Linked DNA regions of Anolis sagrei. The protein of the gene in region 1 binds, or shares a complex with, the protein of each later gene. Links are inferred from orthologs where the notes say so. Each region holds a gene or a part of one and is shown on either strand. Other genes may lie near its edges.

Region 1 (7,748 bases):
GCGGTTTGGAAGAATTTGACAATGGATGATGGGACTTGCAGTCACTTCACTCACTTCCTGAGACCACTGAGACCCTCGCCAATGACCAATCAAGACTAAACTTGGCACATGGAGCTCCAGTGACCCACTCTACATCCTGGTGCACTTTGGAGGAGGACAGATCATGGATGATGGGACTTCAAGTACCTCCACTCCCCAAGACTGCTGCAATCTCATCTAATGACCAATCAAGACCAAAGTTGGCACACAGAGCCCCCATGACCCACTCTACATCCTGCTGCAGTTTTGGAGGAGGGTTGACCATGGATGATGGAACTTCCAGTACCTTCACTCACATTCTGAGACCTCTGCAAACCTCATCCAATGACAGATCAAGACCAAACTTGGCACATAGACCTCTCATGACCCACTTTACGTCCTGGTGTTGTTTGGAAAAATTTGGAGATGGATGATGGGACTTGAAGTACCTTTGCTCACTTCCTGAGACCACTGAGACCCTAGCCAATGACTAATCAAGACTAAACTTGGCACATGGAACTCCAATGACCGACTCTACATCCTGGTGCAGTTTGGAGGAGGACAGACCATGGATGATGGGACTTCAAGTACCTCCACTCCCTTCCGAAGATTGCTGCAACACTCTTCTAATGACCAATCAAGACCAAACTTGGCACACAGAGCCCCCATGATCCACTCTACATCCTGCTGCAGTTTGAAAGAGGATGGACTTTGGATGATGGGACTTCAAGTACCTTCACTCACTTAATGACACCAATGCCACCCTCATCTAATGACTGATAAAGACCAAACTTGGCACACAGAGCCCCCATGACCCACTCTATATCCTGCTGCTGTTTGTAGGAGGATGGGCCATGGATGATGGGACTTCAAGTACCTTCACTCACTTCCTGAAAATAATGCAGCCGTTATCCAAAGACCAATAAAGACCAAACTTGGCATACAGAACCACTATTACCCACTTTCTCTAATAACCTGGGCAATGCCGGGTCCCCAAGCTAGTATATATATATAAATGCTCTGTGCATAATCAGTACCCTAAAAACAAAAAACAAAAAAACCAATGAATGAAATCACACCAAATTTGGCCACAAAACGTCTCACAATAGGAGTGACCATCACTCAAAAATTATGATTTTGTCATTTGGGAGTTATAGTTGCTGGGATTTATAGTTTACCTATAATCAAAGAGCATTCTGGACTCCACCAATGATGAAATTGAACCAAACAACGATGGAATTGAACATCTAGAGAGCACTGTGGACTCAAACAATGATGGATCTGGACCATACTTGGCACGAATACTCAATATGCCCAAACATAAACACAGATGGAGTTTGGGGAAAACAGACCTTGACATTTGGGAGTTGTAGTTACTGGGATTTATAGTTCACCTACAATCAAGGAGCATTCTGAAGCCCACCAATGACAGAATTGGGGCAAACTTCCCACACAGAACCCTCATGACCAACAGAAAATACTGTGTTTTCTGGTGGTCTTCGGCAACCCTTCTGACACCTCCTCGCAACCCCCAAAGGGTCCCAAACCCCAGGTTGAAAAATGCTGCCTGAAGGCCATCCAATCCAACTCCCTTCACCAAGGCAAGAAAACATAAACATAGCCCTCCTGACAAAGGGCCATCCACACACACACATATGTGTATATGACAGATGCAGTATCAAAAATTTGAAAGGGATCCCTAAAGAAGGACAATGATATGTTGTATGTTCCAGAGTAGGCAAACCAGACATCAACACTGGCAAAGAAACAGCAAGAAATACTGTTTACCCACAAGCAGAAAGACATTACATATATTGGAAACCAACACTTTCTCATTACTTTATTTTCCAGATCACCAGACTGGGCCACAGCAACGCGTGGCAGGGGACCACTAATATTTGTTAAAATTGTTCTTCATTTTAATTATTGTATTGTTTTAAAGTGTTTTTTTGCACTACAAATAAGATATGTGCAGTGTGCATAGGAATTCATTCAAGTTTTTTTCTAATTATAATCCGGCCCTCCAACAGTTTGAGGGACTGTGACCTGGCACTCATAGAATCAAAGAGTTGGAAGAGACCTCATGGGCCATCCAGTCCAACCCCCTGCCAAGAAGCAGGAATATTGCATTCAAATCACCCCTGACAAATGGCCATCCAGCCTCTGCTTAAAAGCTTCCAAAGAAGGAGCCTCCACCACACTCCGGGGCAGAAAGTTCCACTGCTGAACGGCTCTCACAGTCAGGAAGTTCTTCCTAATGTTCAGATGGAATCTCCTCTCTTGTAGTTTGAAGCCATTGTTCTGCGTCCTAGTCTCCAAGGAAGCAGAAAACAAGCTTGCTCCCTCCTCCCTGTGGCTTCCTCTCACATATTTATACATGGCTATCATATCTCCTCTCAGCCTTCTCTTCTTCAGGCTAAACATGCCCAGTTCCCTAAGCCGCTCCTCATAGGGCTTGTTCTCCAGACCCTTGATCATTTTAGTCGCCCTCCTCTGGACACATTCCAGCTTGTCAATATCTCTCTTGAATTGTGGTGCCCAGAATTGGACACAATATTCCAGATGTGGTCTAACCAAAGCAGAATAGAGGGGTAGCATTACTTCCTTAGATCTAGACACTATGCTCCTATCTGTTTGAAGTGTTTGAGGACCCCTGGTCTACATGGTTTGGATCCAGATGACCTGCAGGATCGCCTTCTCCCATACAATTTGCCCTGTACACTTGGGTCCTGGGGGGGGGGGGGGGGGGGAATTCCAATCAGACTATTTTTCATCTTGCCATGTTCCCTGCTGGGGTCCCCAATGGGATCAGGAAACCAAAGCCCCTCCCCCCGCCTCTCACCCGATTCCCTCAACTGAGGGCGGGGCCCCAGGAAGAAATGCTTCTGGCTTGGCCAACTTTCCTCCTTCCGCTCCCTCCCCTCCTCCTCCGGCCGCTCCAGCTCCAGCTCACAACCCTCCCGCTTGCTTGCTACCTACCTGCCTGCCTGCTGTGGGGAGGGGGCTCGGGGACCCTGTGCCTTCCACCTGCGGCTGACCACGAGACCAGGAAGCGCTCTGCTGCGGGGCGAAGCGGAGGCAAAGCCAGCCCTCTCCTTCCACGCGCCTCCCACCTCGGCCCCATCTCACGCGCTCGCGGGGCGCCCCCCAGCGGTCAACACGCGTTTCCTGGGAGCTGGCCTTAGAACGCCGCGTGGGAAGGGCTCCAGCTGTGGGAACAACGCCCGCCTCGCGCCAACGCCGGGCAAAGGAAGGCGGGAGCAGGGGGGCTGTTTATCTCTTCAATGCTGTCCCCAGTTTACACCAGGAAGTGAGCGCCCTTTGAACGCTCCAAAACGTTTTTTTGCTGGTGACGCGCTTTTGCATGAAGGAAAACAAGAGAGACGCTTGTGGGCCTCAGGAATCATCAGAGGGGAGTGAAGGGCCCTTCCACACAACCATATAACCCAGAATATTGTTTATTTATTTATTTACCTTACTTATATACCGCTGTTCTCAGCCCGAAGGCGACTCACAGCGGTTCACAACAAATACGAACAGCAAAAATTCAGTGCTATAGTATAGAAACAGTTAACAACCTAACACATTACACAATTAATAAACAGTTACTACAATACCCATTCACTGTCGTCTCGTCATCAAAAACATGTTCCAGATTCGTCATCCATTGTTCCATTCCAGTGTTCATTAACCAATCATTGCACTAATTATTGGAACGCCTGCTCAAACAGCCAGGTCTTCACTTTTTTTGCGGAATACCATTAGAGATGGTGCTAGTCTAATGTCCGTAGGAAGGGCGTTCCACAGCCGAGGAGCCACCACCGAGAAGGCCCTATCTCTTGTCCCCGCCAGCCGAGCTTGAGAAGCAGGCGGGATCGAGAGCAGGGTCTCCCTGGAAGATCTCAAAGTCCTGGTGGGTTCATAGGCAGAGATGCGGTCGGATAGGTAGCTTGGGCTGGAACCGTTTAGGGCTTTAAAGGCCAACGCCAGCACTTTGAATTCAGCCCGGTAGCAGATCGGTAGCCAGTGGAGTTGGGGCAACAGGGGGGTTGTATGCTCCCTGCGCTCCACTCCTGTTAAAATCATGGCTGCTGAGCGTTGGACTAGTTGGAGCTTCCGAGCAGTCTTCAAAGGCAACCCCACGTAGAGAGCGTTGCAGTAGTCTAAACGGGATGTAACCAGAGCGTGGACTACCATGGCCAAGTCAGACTTCCCAAGGTACGGGCGCAGCTGGCGCACAAGCTTTAGCTGTGCAAATGCTCCCCTGGTCACCGCCGAAACCTGGGGTTCCAGGCTCAGCGATGAGTCCAGGGTCACACCCAAGCTGAGAACCTGCGCCTTCAGGGGGAGTGCGGCCCCATCCAACACAGGCTGTAACCCTATGCCCTGTTCGGCCTTGCGACTGACCAGGAGTACCTCTGTCTTGTCTGGATTCAATTTCAATTTGTTCGCCCTCATCCAGACCGTCACAGCGGCCAAGCACCGGTTCAGGACCTGGACAGCCTCCTTAGTAGCAGGTGGAAAGGAGTGACAGAGTTGGACATCATCCGCGTACAGATGACATCGTACCCCGAAACTCCGGATGATCTCCCCCAGCGGCTTCATGTAGATGTTAAACAACATGGGAGACAATATTGAGCCCTGAGGAACCCCACAAGACAATGGTTGTGGGGTTGAACAGGTGTCCCCAACAACACCTTCTGAGATCGACCCTCTAGGAATGACCGGAGCCACTGCAAAACAGTACCTCCAAGACCCATCCCCGCGAGGCATCCCAGAAGGATACCGTGGTCAACGGTATCGAAGGCCGCTGAGAGGTCCAGCAGCACCAACAGGGACACACTCCCCCTGTCGAGCTCCAGGCGCAGATCATCCACTAAGGCAACCAATATCATATATTATAGCAGATAACCCACAATGTCTGCTTTGAACTGGATTTGTTTATTTATTTATGTCGAACATTTTTACCCCGCCCTTCTCAACCCCTGGGGGGACTCAGGGCGGTTTAAAATTGGCAATAATTCAATGCCACATCATAAAATACAGAATAACAAATATAACAAACATCTATATAAATAAAAATGTCATGTTCGTTTGTGGTACCATCAGAACTCAAAAACCACTGGGGGAATTGACACCAAATTTGGACACAAGACACCTAACAACCCAATGTATGTCCTCCACTCAAAAAAATTGATTTTGTCATTTGGGAATTGTCGTTGCTGGGATTTATAGTTTACCTACAATCAAAGAGCATTCTGAACTCCACCAATGATGGAATTGGGCCAATCTTAGCACAAAGGGACCAACAGAAAAAACTGGAAGGGTTTGGTGGACATTGACCTTGAGTTTGGAAATTGAAGTTCACCCACATCCAGAGAGCACTGTGGACTCAAACAATGATGGATCTGGACCAAACTTGGCACGAATATTCCATATGTCCAAATATGAACACAGGTGGAGTTTAAGGGAAATAGACCTTGACATTTGGCAGTTGTAGTTGCTGGGATTTATAGTTCACCTACAATCAAAGAGCATTCTGAACTCCACCAATGATGGAATTGAACCAAACATGGCATACAGGACTTCCATGACCAATGGAACACACTGGACATTGACTTTGAGTTTGGGAGTTGTAGTTCACATACATCCAGAGAGCACTGTGGACTCAAACAATGATGGATCTGGACCAAACTTGACACAAAAATTCCATATGCCCAAATATGAACACAGATGGAGTTTGGAGGAAATAGACCTTGACATTTGGGGTTTGTAGTTACTAGGATTTATAGTTCACTACAATTAAAGAGCATTCTGAAACCCACAAACGACAGAAATGGGGCAAACTTCCCACTCGGGAACCCCATGGCCAACGGAAAATACTTAAGGCCATCCAGTCCAACTCTCTTCACCAGGGCAAGAAAATGTAATCAGAACCCTCCTGACAAAGAGCCATCCAGTCATAAATATAGATAGATAGATATGATTCTCTCTCACACACACAGATATAGTATCATGGATTTGAAAGAGACCCTTAAAGAAGGACTATGATATGTTCCATATTACAGAGTAGGCAAACCAGACACTCTCCACATCAACACTGACAAAGAAACAACAAGAAATACTGTTTACTCACAAGCCTAAAGAAATTATATATATTAGAAACCAACACTTTCTCATTACTTTATTTTCCAGATCACCAGACTGGGCCACAGCAACGTGTGGCAGGGGACAGCTAATTATTATAATAAAATGGTAGCTAAGAACTAGTTTGCTTTTTATCCCTCTCAAACCCTTGCATCCTTTTTTCTTTTGCATTATGTCTTATCTTTGTTCGCTGCAAACATCTCCGAGTCTTTTTTTAGCTGTAAATGGAAGTAGGTCAAGTAAGTACCGTATAAAAATTTCCTTTCTTAGAATGGTACTCGTGCCCTCTAGTGATACCATTTTCCATGGTTTTCTTACCCCATTCTTGCTATTGAATAACATTTTTTTAATGTGTTGGTTTAGTGGGATGGGAGCCCAAGTTGAAAGCTGTGAGGAGGCATGAATGGCATCAGGACTCTTAGCTGTTTACCTTTTACTTTAAGAGTTTATATTCTGTAAGTATGTGTTTTGTTTCTTGAAGGTACAAGAAGGATGACAAGGGGAATCCTCAATGTGCAGGGAAATTTAGCATAACCCTGAGACAAGATCCATTTAAGTCTTTAGTTTTATACTTTCAGAGTTGAAAGCACAGCAAGAAAAACAAGAAAATCCCTACTGGTGTAAGGACACAAGATGATTGTGTTATTGTATGTTATGGATATGATAGAAACACATGCAATATTTTTGGAATATAAGTGTTGGAAACTACTTTGGTTGACACTGGAAGAAGAAAAAAATCCATTCTGAGATCACTATGTAACTCCTCCAAAAATACTATTTTTGCATTTTTTTAAAAGTAGCTGACAGTTCACTCCTAATGAAGTGGGAAAGTAGGACTTGCACCTCTGCATTGTTCTTTTTGTGTATGTTTATGTGTGTTTATGTGTGAGAAAGATAATAGTAAAAGCTTTCTGGCTTCATTTCACTCACTGGATATGGGGACTAGTTGTGAGCACAGGCTTTTCACAAATTCTTTTCCTGAGGGCAGAGAAACTTGACATCCCACTCCCTCAAAGCACAGAATATCATAAATCAGTCACAAGTCTGCCCATTTTTGTGGCAGGTAGGCATTTAAAAGATTATATAACTTTCATAGTTTGTTTTACTACAAGACTACAGGAACTAATTTGATTTATTCACAAAGGAGTAGTTTGAATATTTGAGCAACGAAACCTAACCTTGTTGACTGTTTCAGACAGGAAGGTGCAGCAATAGGTACATCTTTCCCCTTAAATGGCGGGATAGAAAATAAATAGCTTTGAATAGCGCAGGCATGGGGAACCTTCGGCTCTCCAGGTGTGGTGGACTTCAACTCCCACAATTCCTTGAGGCCAAGGTAAGCCTTTGGGGTGAATGCCGAGCCTCAAGGAATTGTGGGAGTTGAAGTCCACCACACCTGGAGAGCCGAAGGTTCCTGACCCCTGGAATAGCGTCTATAACATACTGCCATCCCAAAAGATACAAAGCAATTACAACTTTCACTGATGAGTCCAATGTGATCCATCTCCTGTCTTGACTATTAACACCAATAATTAGCTTGTCATGAGCTTGTTTTTCAGTATCAGAGCATGGGAAGGCGTGAA
Region 2 (7,632 bases), on another chromosome or scaffold:
ATAATAAAACATTGGGAACTCATTTCCCACAAGGAACATTGCTTCCTACTTTTTCTCCCCAGCAGGAAGTTCTCTGAAATACAGTCAACAAAGCAAAATAGTGAGTCACTTCCAGATGGGCTCAAGGCAAGAAATTTTCAGGGAAGTGGGTGTGCTGGGATGAGATGAAGCATTTCCTTGTATCGCCCCAAATATTTAATTCCTTGCACATGGCCTGTTGTCCAGTGCAACGTTTACATGCATGAAACAAGCTCTTCAACACATATATAACTGCAGATTTACATTATTTTGATGCACTAAAAGTTTATACTAGTATGTTTTTAAAATGAGAGTTATAACACAGGCCTGCAATGAAAACAGTTTTCCAAAATGTATCTTTCCTTAAGAGTATTTTGGGAAGCTGAATTCAAAACACACACAAACACAGAAAAAACACTGCACCATGCACAGTTCTTTCAAAAATTTGATTCCCCAAATTTTTGAATGAACCCAAATAATGATGGATCTGGACCAAACTTGGCATGAATACATGACATGCCCAAATTGAAAACTGGTAGGTTTGGAGGGAAATTGGCCTAGACATTTTGGAGTTATAGGTACTGGGATTTATAGTTCACCTGCCATCAAAGAGCACTCTGAACTCCACCAAAAAGTGAATTGGACCAAACTTGGCACACAGAACCATCATGACCAACAAAAAATACTGGAGGTTGTAGGGGGAAAATTCACCTTGATTTGGAGGAGTTGTAGTTCACCTACATCCAAAGAGCACTATGAACCCAAACACCGATGGATCTGGACCACACTTGGCACACATACCTGATATGTTGAAATTTGATTATCGGGGGTGGGGGAACTGACCTTCCTTTCTGGGAGTTGTAGTTCACTCACAATCGGTGACTTCCACAATTTTTGGTTGTGTCAGGAGCAACTGGAGAAACTGCAAGTCGCTTCTGGTGTGAGAGAATTGGCCATCTGCAAGGACGTTGTCCAGGGGATGCCAGGATGTTTTGATGTTTTTACCATCCTTGTGGGAGGCGTTTCTCATGTCCCCGCATGAGGAACTGGAGCTGATAGAGGGAGCTCATCCACACTCTCCCCAGATTTGAACCTGCGACCTGTCGGTCTTCAGTCCTGCCAGCACAAGAGTTTAACCCACTGCGCCACCGGGGGCTCCACTTCCACTAATGATGGATCTGAACTAAACTTGGCATCTAGAAGCCCCATGACTAACTCACCCTACTGGAGGGGTTTGAAGGGATTGACTCACCATAGTGCAGTGGTTCTCAACCTTCCTAATGCTGCAACCCCTTAATACAGTTCCTCATGTTGTGGTGACCCCCAACCATAATATATTTTCATTGCTACTTCATAACTGCAATTTTTGAACTATTATGAATCATAATGCAAATATCTGATAATCAGGATGTATTTTCATTCATTGGGGCGTATCGGGAATTTGTGCCAAATTGGGTTCAGTGAATGAAAATGCATCCTGCTTAGCAGATATTTATGCACTATGGTGGGTCAAACCCCTCCAGTAGGTTGAATGAGTCATGGGGCTTCTGGATGCCAAGTTTAGTTCAGGTCCATCATCGGTGGAGGACACGGTTTCTCTGGTTGTGAGTGAACTACAACTCCCAGAAAAGGTCAGTTTCACCCCAAACCCCTCCAGTAAACAAATTTCAACATATCAGGTATGTGTGCCAAGTGTGGTCCAGATCCATCAGTATTTGGGTTCACAGTGCTCTCTGGATGTAGGTGAACTACAACTCACCCAAATCAAGGTGAATTTTCCCCAACGACCTTAATAATAATAATAATAATAATAATAATAATGTATTATCGAAGGCTTTCATGGCCGGAATCACTGGGTTGTTGTAGGTTTTTTCGGGCTATATGGCCATGGTCTAGAGGCATTTTCTCCTGACGTTTCGCCTGCATCTATGGCAAGCATCCTCAACCCAATAATAATAATACTTTATTTATAACCTGCCACCATCTCCCCAAGGGACTTGGAGCGGCTTACATGAGGCCAAGCCCAACAGTACATCAATAAACAAAAGCAATAAACAAAAACAATAAATACAATACAATTAATATAAATCACATATAAACAATAACCAATAAACAGTAACACACAAAGATTTACAAAACCTATGGCCGGGCCAAAGGTAATAGTTTAAAATTTAAATTCAGTATTTTCTATTGGTCGTGATGGCTCTGTGTGCCAAGTTTGGTCCAATTCCCTTTTTGGTGGGGTTCGGAGTGCTCTTTGATGGCAGGTGAACTATAAATCCCAGTACCTCCAACTCCAACATGTCCAGGCATTAGGAAGGTTGAGAAACACTCGTTTTAAGGGGTCATTAAAAGGCTAAATTCCTACAAAACCAGCATTCCCCCCCCCCCCCTTTTTTTTGGTTCAACATTCTGAAGAAGCATATTTGAGGTCAATTCAGGATCTCCAACCCCTACAAAACCAGCATTCGTGTTGTTTATTGTTGTGATGGGACACATTTGCGCCTGAGGCGATTTGAAAAGTGAGAACGCCCAGTTGGTAGTGGAGTTGCGCCTTGGAAGCCAGTGCTGAGGCTGAGAGAGAGTGGCTCACCCGAAAGGGGCGTGAAACCGCGTTAATTCTGCAGTGTAGATGCCCCAATGCTCCAATTCTTCCCCCTTTCCCAGGGACAGAGCCCCAAAGAGACCCAGTGAGGGAGGTTCAGGCGTGGCCTCCTCTTCCCCCCTCCCTCCCTCATTCCCTTCCTCTTTCTCGGACTCACCAAACGGCGCCATAGGCTCCGGAGCCCACCGCCTGCAGCTCCCGGTAGCGCTCCCTGACCTCCCACACCGTCTTGGTGATCTCCTGGCGGTGGAAGCCTTTCTTGGGGGAGGACATGGCGTCGCCCGCCTGCCTGGCTTCCTTCTCTCCCCCTCAGTCAGACTCGCTTCCCTCCCTCCATTCACTCGCTTCGACAACGACGGGGAGGAGGAGGAGGAGGAGACCTCTGTGTGAAAAAGCTTTCCAGCTGCTGGAGGGAACTGATAGGAGCATTTTTCCCCCTTGGCCTCGAAGGGGAAGCCCGTGTTGGCCTGCTTTTCCCGCTTTCATTTCCCCCCACGAGGAAAGTCGCCTTCTGGGAGGCTTTCCCTTTAACCCAGGCATGGGCCAACTTCGGCCCTCCAGGTGTTTTGGACTTCAACTCCCACAAATTCCTAACACTTTGGAGTGCTTTGTTAGCCGCCTCGAGTCCCTTCAGGGAGATGGTGGCAGGGTACAAATATTTTTTTTATTTTTCGTGTCAGGAGCGACTTGAGAAACTGCAAATCGCTACTAGTGTTAGAGAATTGGCTGTCTGCAGGGACGTCACCCAGGGGATGCCCAGATGTTTTTGATGTTTTACCATCCTTGTGGGAGGCTTCTCCCGTGTGGGGACATGGGGAGCTGGAGCTGACAGAGGGAGCTCATCTGCGCTCTCTCTGGATTTGAACCTGCGAGCTGTCAGTGAGTGTCCTGCTGGCACAAGGGTTTAACCCACTGTGCTACCGTGATAAAAATAAAAATAATTTTATTATTATTATCTGGCCATTGGCTATTGTTGATCTCCAGGGAAGGCCTGGTTCCATAAAAAGGTTTTAACTTGAGTGTGAAAGGCCACCAAGGAGGGGGCCGATCACACCTCTCTGGAAAGGGAGTTCCAGAGCCTCAGGGCCACCAACAAAAAGTCCCCCTCTCTTGTTCCCACCAGCCACACTTGCCAGCCGCACTTGTGACGGCCTCTCCTGTTAGTCTCAGGGTTTGTGTGGGCATGCAGGAGGAGGCGGCCAGGATGTTAACTGGAGCTCTTTACAGAGAGAAGTCAACCCTCCTGTTTAAGGAGCTCCACTGGCTGCCATTTACCTACCAAGCCCAATTCAAGGTGCAGGTGCTTACCTACAAAGCCTTAAACGGTTTGGGACCTGCCTACCTGCGTGACCGCATCTCTGTCTACGAACCCACGTGCTCCCTTCGTTCATCCGGAGAGGCCCTGCTCGCGATCCCACCTGCGTCGCAGGCGCGTTTGGTGGGGACGAGGGACAGGGCCTTCTCTGTGGTTGCCCCCCGACTTTGGAACACCCTCCCCAAAGACATTAGACTAGCACCCACGTTGGCAGTCTTTAGGAAGAACTTGAAGACTTGGTTATTCCGATGTGCCTTCCCAGAATAGGATAATCTCCAGCACTCTGTCCCAGAAGCACTTTATTAGAGTTTAATACTCTCTGCACATTGCACTTGCCCAGAACTCCAACATACCACCTCACACACCCAGCACTTTTTAACCTGTACCCATCATTGGCCCGGCCCTGATTTTATTGTGTAATAGTGTAATGTTTTGTTGTGTTATTGCTTATGTTTTTAATTTGCTGCATTGTTATTGTTTGTTGTTATTGTGTTGAGGCCTTGGCCTTTGTAAGCCGTATCGAGTCCTTTGGGAGATGCTAGCAGGGTACAAATAAAGTTTAATAATAATAATAATAATAATAATAATAATAATAATAATAATAGATGTGGTCCCTCAAGTAGTCTGGGTTCGAACCATTTATGGCTTTATAGTTGTAATAAGGGAGTTGTGTGCTCCCTATAAACAACCCTGTTGAACAATCTGGTTGACAGTTGGATCAGTTGAAAGTTTTTAACACCCTTCAAAACACATTATGGTAATATAATGGCATATGCCGTTAAGGCCAAATCAGATGTCCATCGAAACATGTGCAGTTGGCAGTGTTATAACTGTGCAAATGCACACCTGGCCATTAAAACCACTGAGAATCTAGATTTAGGGCTGAGTCTAGGAGTATAATAAACTTGCATCTTCAAGGGAAGTGTAATCCCATCTAGTACAGACTAAATCCCAGATTCCTGATCTACCTTTTGACTGACCTTTCTATCTGGTCTGGATTAAGCTTCGTTTAGTCCATTGTTGTTGACAAGGACAGTTTGCAGCTCAGTTCAGAATCAAACAAAACTGTATTTAGAGTTTTGATTATTTTTTCATTCCCTGCAAGAGTCACCATACTCCAGACGACAACCTCTATGATCTATAATGACAGTATGTAGACGATCATTCTCCAGGGCTGTGATTCATGCAACCCTCCAGATGCTGTTGAATTGCAAATACCCATAGCCAGCATAGCCAAGGGTTAGAAAACTGAAGTTCAACAATATTTGAGAAATGCATGATTTCCACCCTGCCTTAGTTTTATCCTCAGAGTTGGCAACTTAATATAATAGTTATGCATTCATTTGTTGCATATCCTTTCTTTTTTCCAGAGATCTCATGGTGGCATGCAAGCTTCTCCTCCTTCCCAATTTATTTTCACAACAACCACATGAAACAGGTCAAACAGGAAAGGATTTTTGATCACATACCAACCATGTTTAAGCTGGAAAGGACAAGGGACATTCTCCCTGCTTTTTTAAATAAACAATGCCTTTTACTTGTGATGACTGGATTGTGGCAGATGCCTTGGAGAGTTGTCTCTCTGACTCATTCACCACAAACAGAAATATGGCCTCTTTTGGTATTCTATCCAACACCTCTCCCTATGGTCATGGCAGATTATTTCCAAAAGAGAGACTAGAAGCAGGCTGAAATAAAAGTACAGTTATTTGAGCTGAGGTCTATTCACACTGTATAGTTTTCTCCTCCTCTTCCTTCCATTGGAACTGCAATGGTTCCATCCTATGGTTTAACGGCAGTTAACAACAAAAATTGCCAGTCCAGGATTTTATAAAATAGAATCATACCAGTTAAAGTGGAATCATAGCACTCTAATTGTATCATGTGAACGAACCCTTGGGATCAATGTAGAGTGGCCTGTACTCCAGTATTGGCTTTGGGCTGATCCAGTCCTTCAAAGTAGCTTTCCTCATATGGTAGGTAGTACAGCAACAGATGCATAATAACATGACATTACCACTTCTTTTCCATCGCACCTTGGGGGCTTATGTGTCATTAAAACATTTATAATGAAAGTACTACAAGAAATAAAGTTTGATAAAATTATACCTCTAGTAATGGCACTTAGCATGGGCTGGCAGGAGTTGCTTTGATCAAATTAGTTCTCATTCTCTAGCAGGACAATTGCAAATGTTGCAATGCAGCCTGGTGAAGAACAGATTTCTTACAAGCTTTCCCAGCTAGCATCCTATTTCATCATATGTGTGAAGTAATTTGCAAGCTTGGGTTATAATAGAGGATATATTAGGTTTACAACAAGGTGAGAACTAAAGATAACAGAAATACCAATATAATTTTAAAAATTCTGTGGGTAGGAGTATATTCCATCTGGTAGGCTTCCAGCTGGTGGCTCATGATATTTATTGAGGCAGACAAAATGCTTGTCAGTATGGTTTTGCAATGGGTGTATGTTAAATAAACCCGTATATTAACTACAGCATTATATGCAACTATCTGACAGTTGTTCAGTTACAAACACAAAAGGAGCATATAGACAAAATGGGAAGAAGTTCTGATTTCTGTTGGGAAATGAGTAAAGAATATCATTGTTCCTGAATTGTTATATCCAGCCAGCATGACCACTAAAGGTAAAGGTAATCATTTTCCCTTGACATTAAGTCTAGTCGTGTCCAACTCTGGAGGGTGGTGCTCTGTTTCTAAGCTGAAGAGCCAGTGTTGTCCATAGACTCCTCCTAGGTCATGTGGCTGGCATGACTGCATGCCGTTACCTTCCTGCAAGAGCAGTACCTATTCATCTACTCACATTTGCATGTTTTCAAATTGCCAGGTTGGCAGAAGCTGGGGCTAACAGCGGGAGCTCATCCCACTCCTCGGATTCGGACTACTGACCTTTTGGTCAGCAAGTTCAGCAATCCAGCGGTTTAACGTGCTGCGCCACTGGGGGCTCCTAGCATGATCACTAGTTGTTACCAAAATTTACAAAATAATAACTTTACCAAGCTCTGCTCACCCTAACCAATTTTGATGTGTGCACATTTGCCTGAGATCTTACAATAATGTAGATTGTAATGTACAACTCACATTTCTATTGTACCTTATGCCATAAGATATATATTAGCCTTAAAGTTTCTCTCCAAAATATTCATTGCTCAAGTGGAGCAAGACAGAAAAATTAAATATCAAGTATCCATGCAGCCAGTTCATTACTGTTTGGCCCCCAGTGGAATCATAGGACTATAATTGTATAGTGTGAACAAGGAGATACATTTTGAGACCCTCCATGCCCACTGGGGATACCCTGCTGATAACACTGAAGCCTATAGTTTGACTATATTTGAGGCAGAAGCATATCACAGAATTGCATTGGAGGACCCAGAGAAGTTCACAAACACTTCTGAGAGGATTTGGAGGGGGGAGGCTGTGAGTAGTGAATTCTAACATCCACAACAAAAAGTTAGCTTTGATGGTGGTGCTAGCCTGACTTATGCCATCACAACTCAACATGTCGATACTAATGGGATTTTACATGAATATAACACTATTCTCACTGACCATTTACTTAATACTATACCTTGATATAGATGATTATCTTCCCTGGATCTTATTCTGCACACATATTCCCTGTATGGATATTCACACGATAGCAGTGATCTGAACAACATGTGGTTTCTTC

What was found. Proteins that work in one complex are often made in the same cells at the same time.
Region 2: the proteins of PTPN3 (region 1) and MAPK12 are in contact, whole or in part, in a crystal structure (PDB 4QUM), measured with the Homo sapiens proteins. The link is inferred for Anolis sagrei from reciprocal best matches to the Homo sapiens genes PTPN3 and MAPK12. Residues at the interface, in NP_002820.3 of Homo sapiens: Arg655, Leu671, Asn674, Arg675, Tyr676, Lys677, Asp678, Val679, Arg751, His812, Ser843, Ala844, Gly845, Ile846, Gly847, Arg848, Met883, Gln886, Thr887; in NP_002960.2 of Homo sapiens: Met182, Thr183, Gly184, Tyr185, Val186, Val187, Arg189.

What each region holds. Positions count from the first base shown.
Region 1 is NC_090026.1:59,187,554-59,195,301, forward strand, and holds the start of PTPN3 (tyrosine-protein phosphatase non-receptor type 3), read right to left. Parts: upstream 3,148-7,748; 5' UTR 3,143-3,147; coding exon 2,998-3,142; intron 1-2,997.
Region 2 is NC_090025.1:124,756,341-124,763,972, forward strand, and holds the start of MAPK12 (mitogen-activated protein kinase 12), read right to left. Parts: upstream 3,113-7,632; 5' UTR 2,897-3,112; coding exon 2,781-2,896; intron 1-2,780. UniProt on the Homo sapiens protein: Serine/threonine kinase which acts as an essential component of the MAP kinase signal transduction pathway.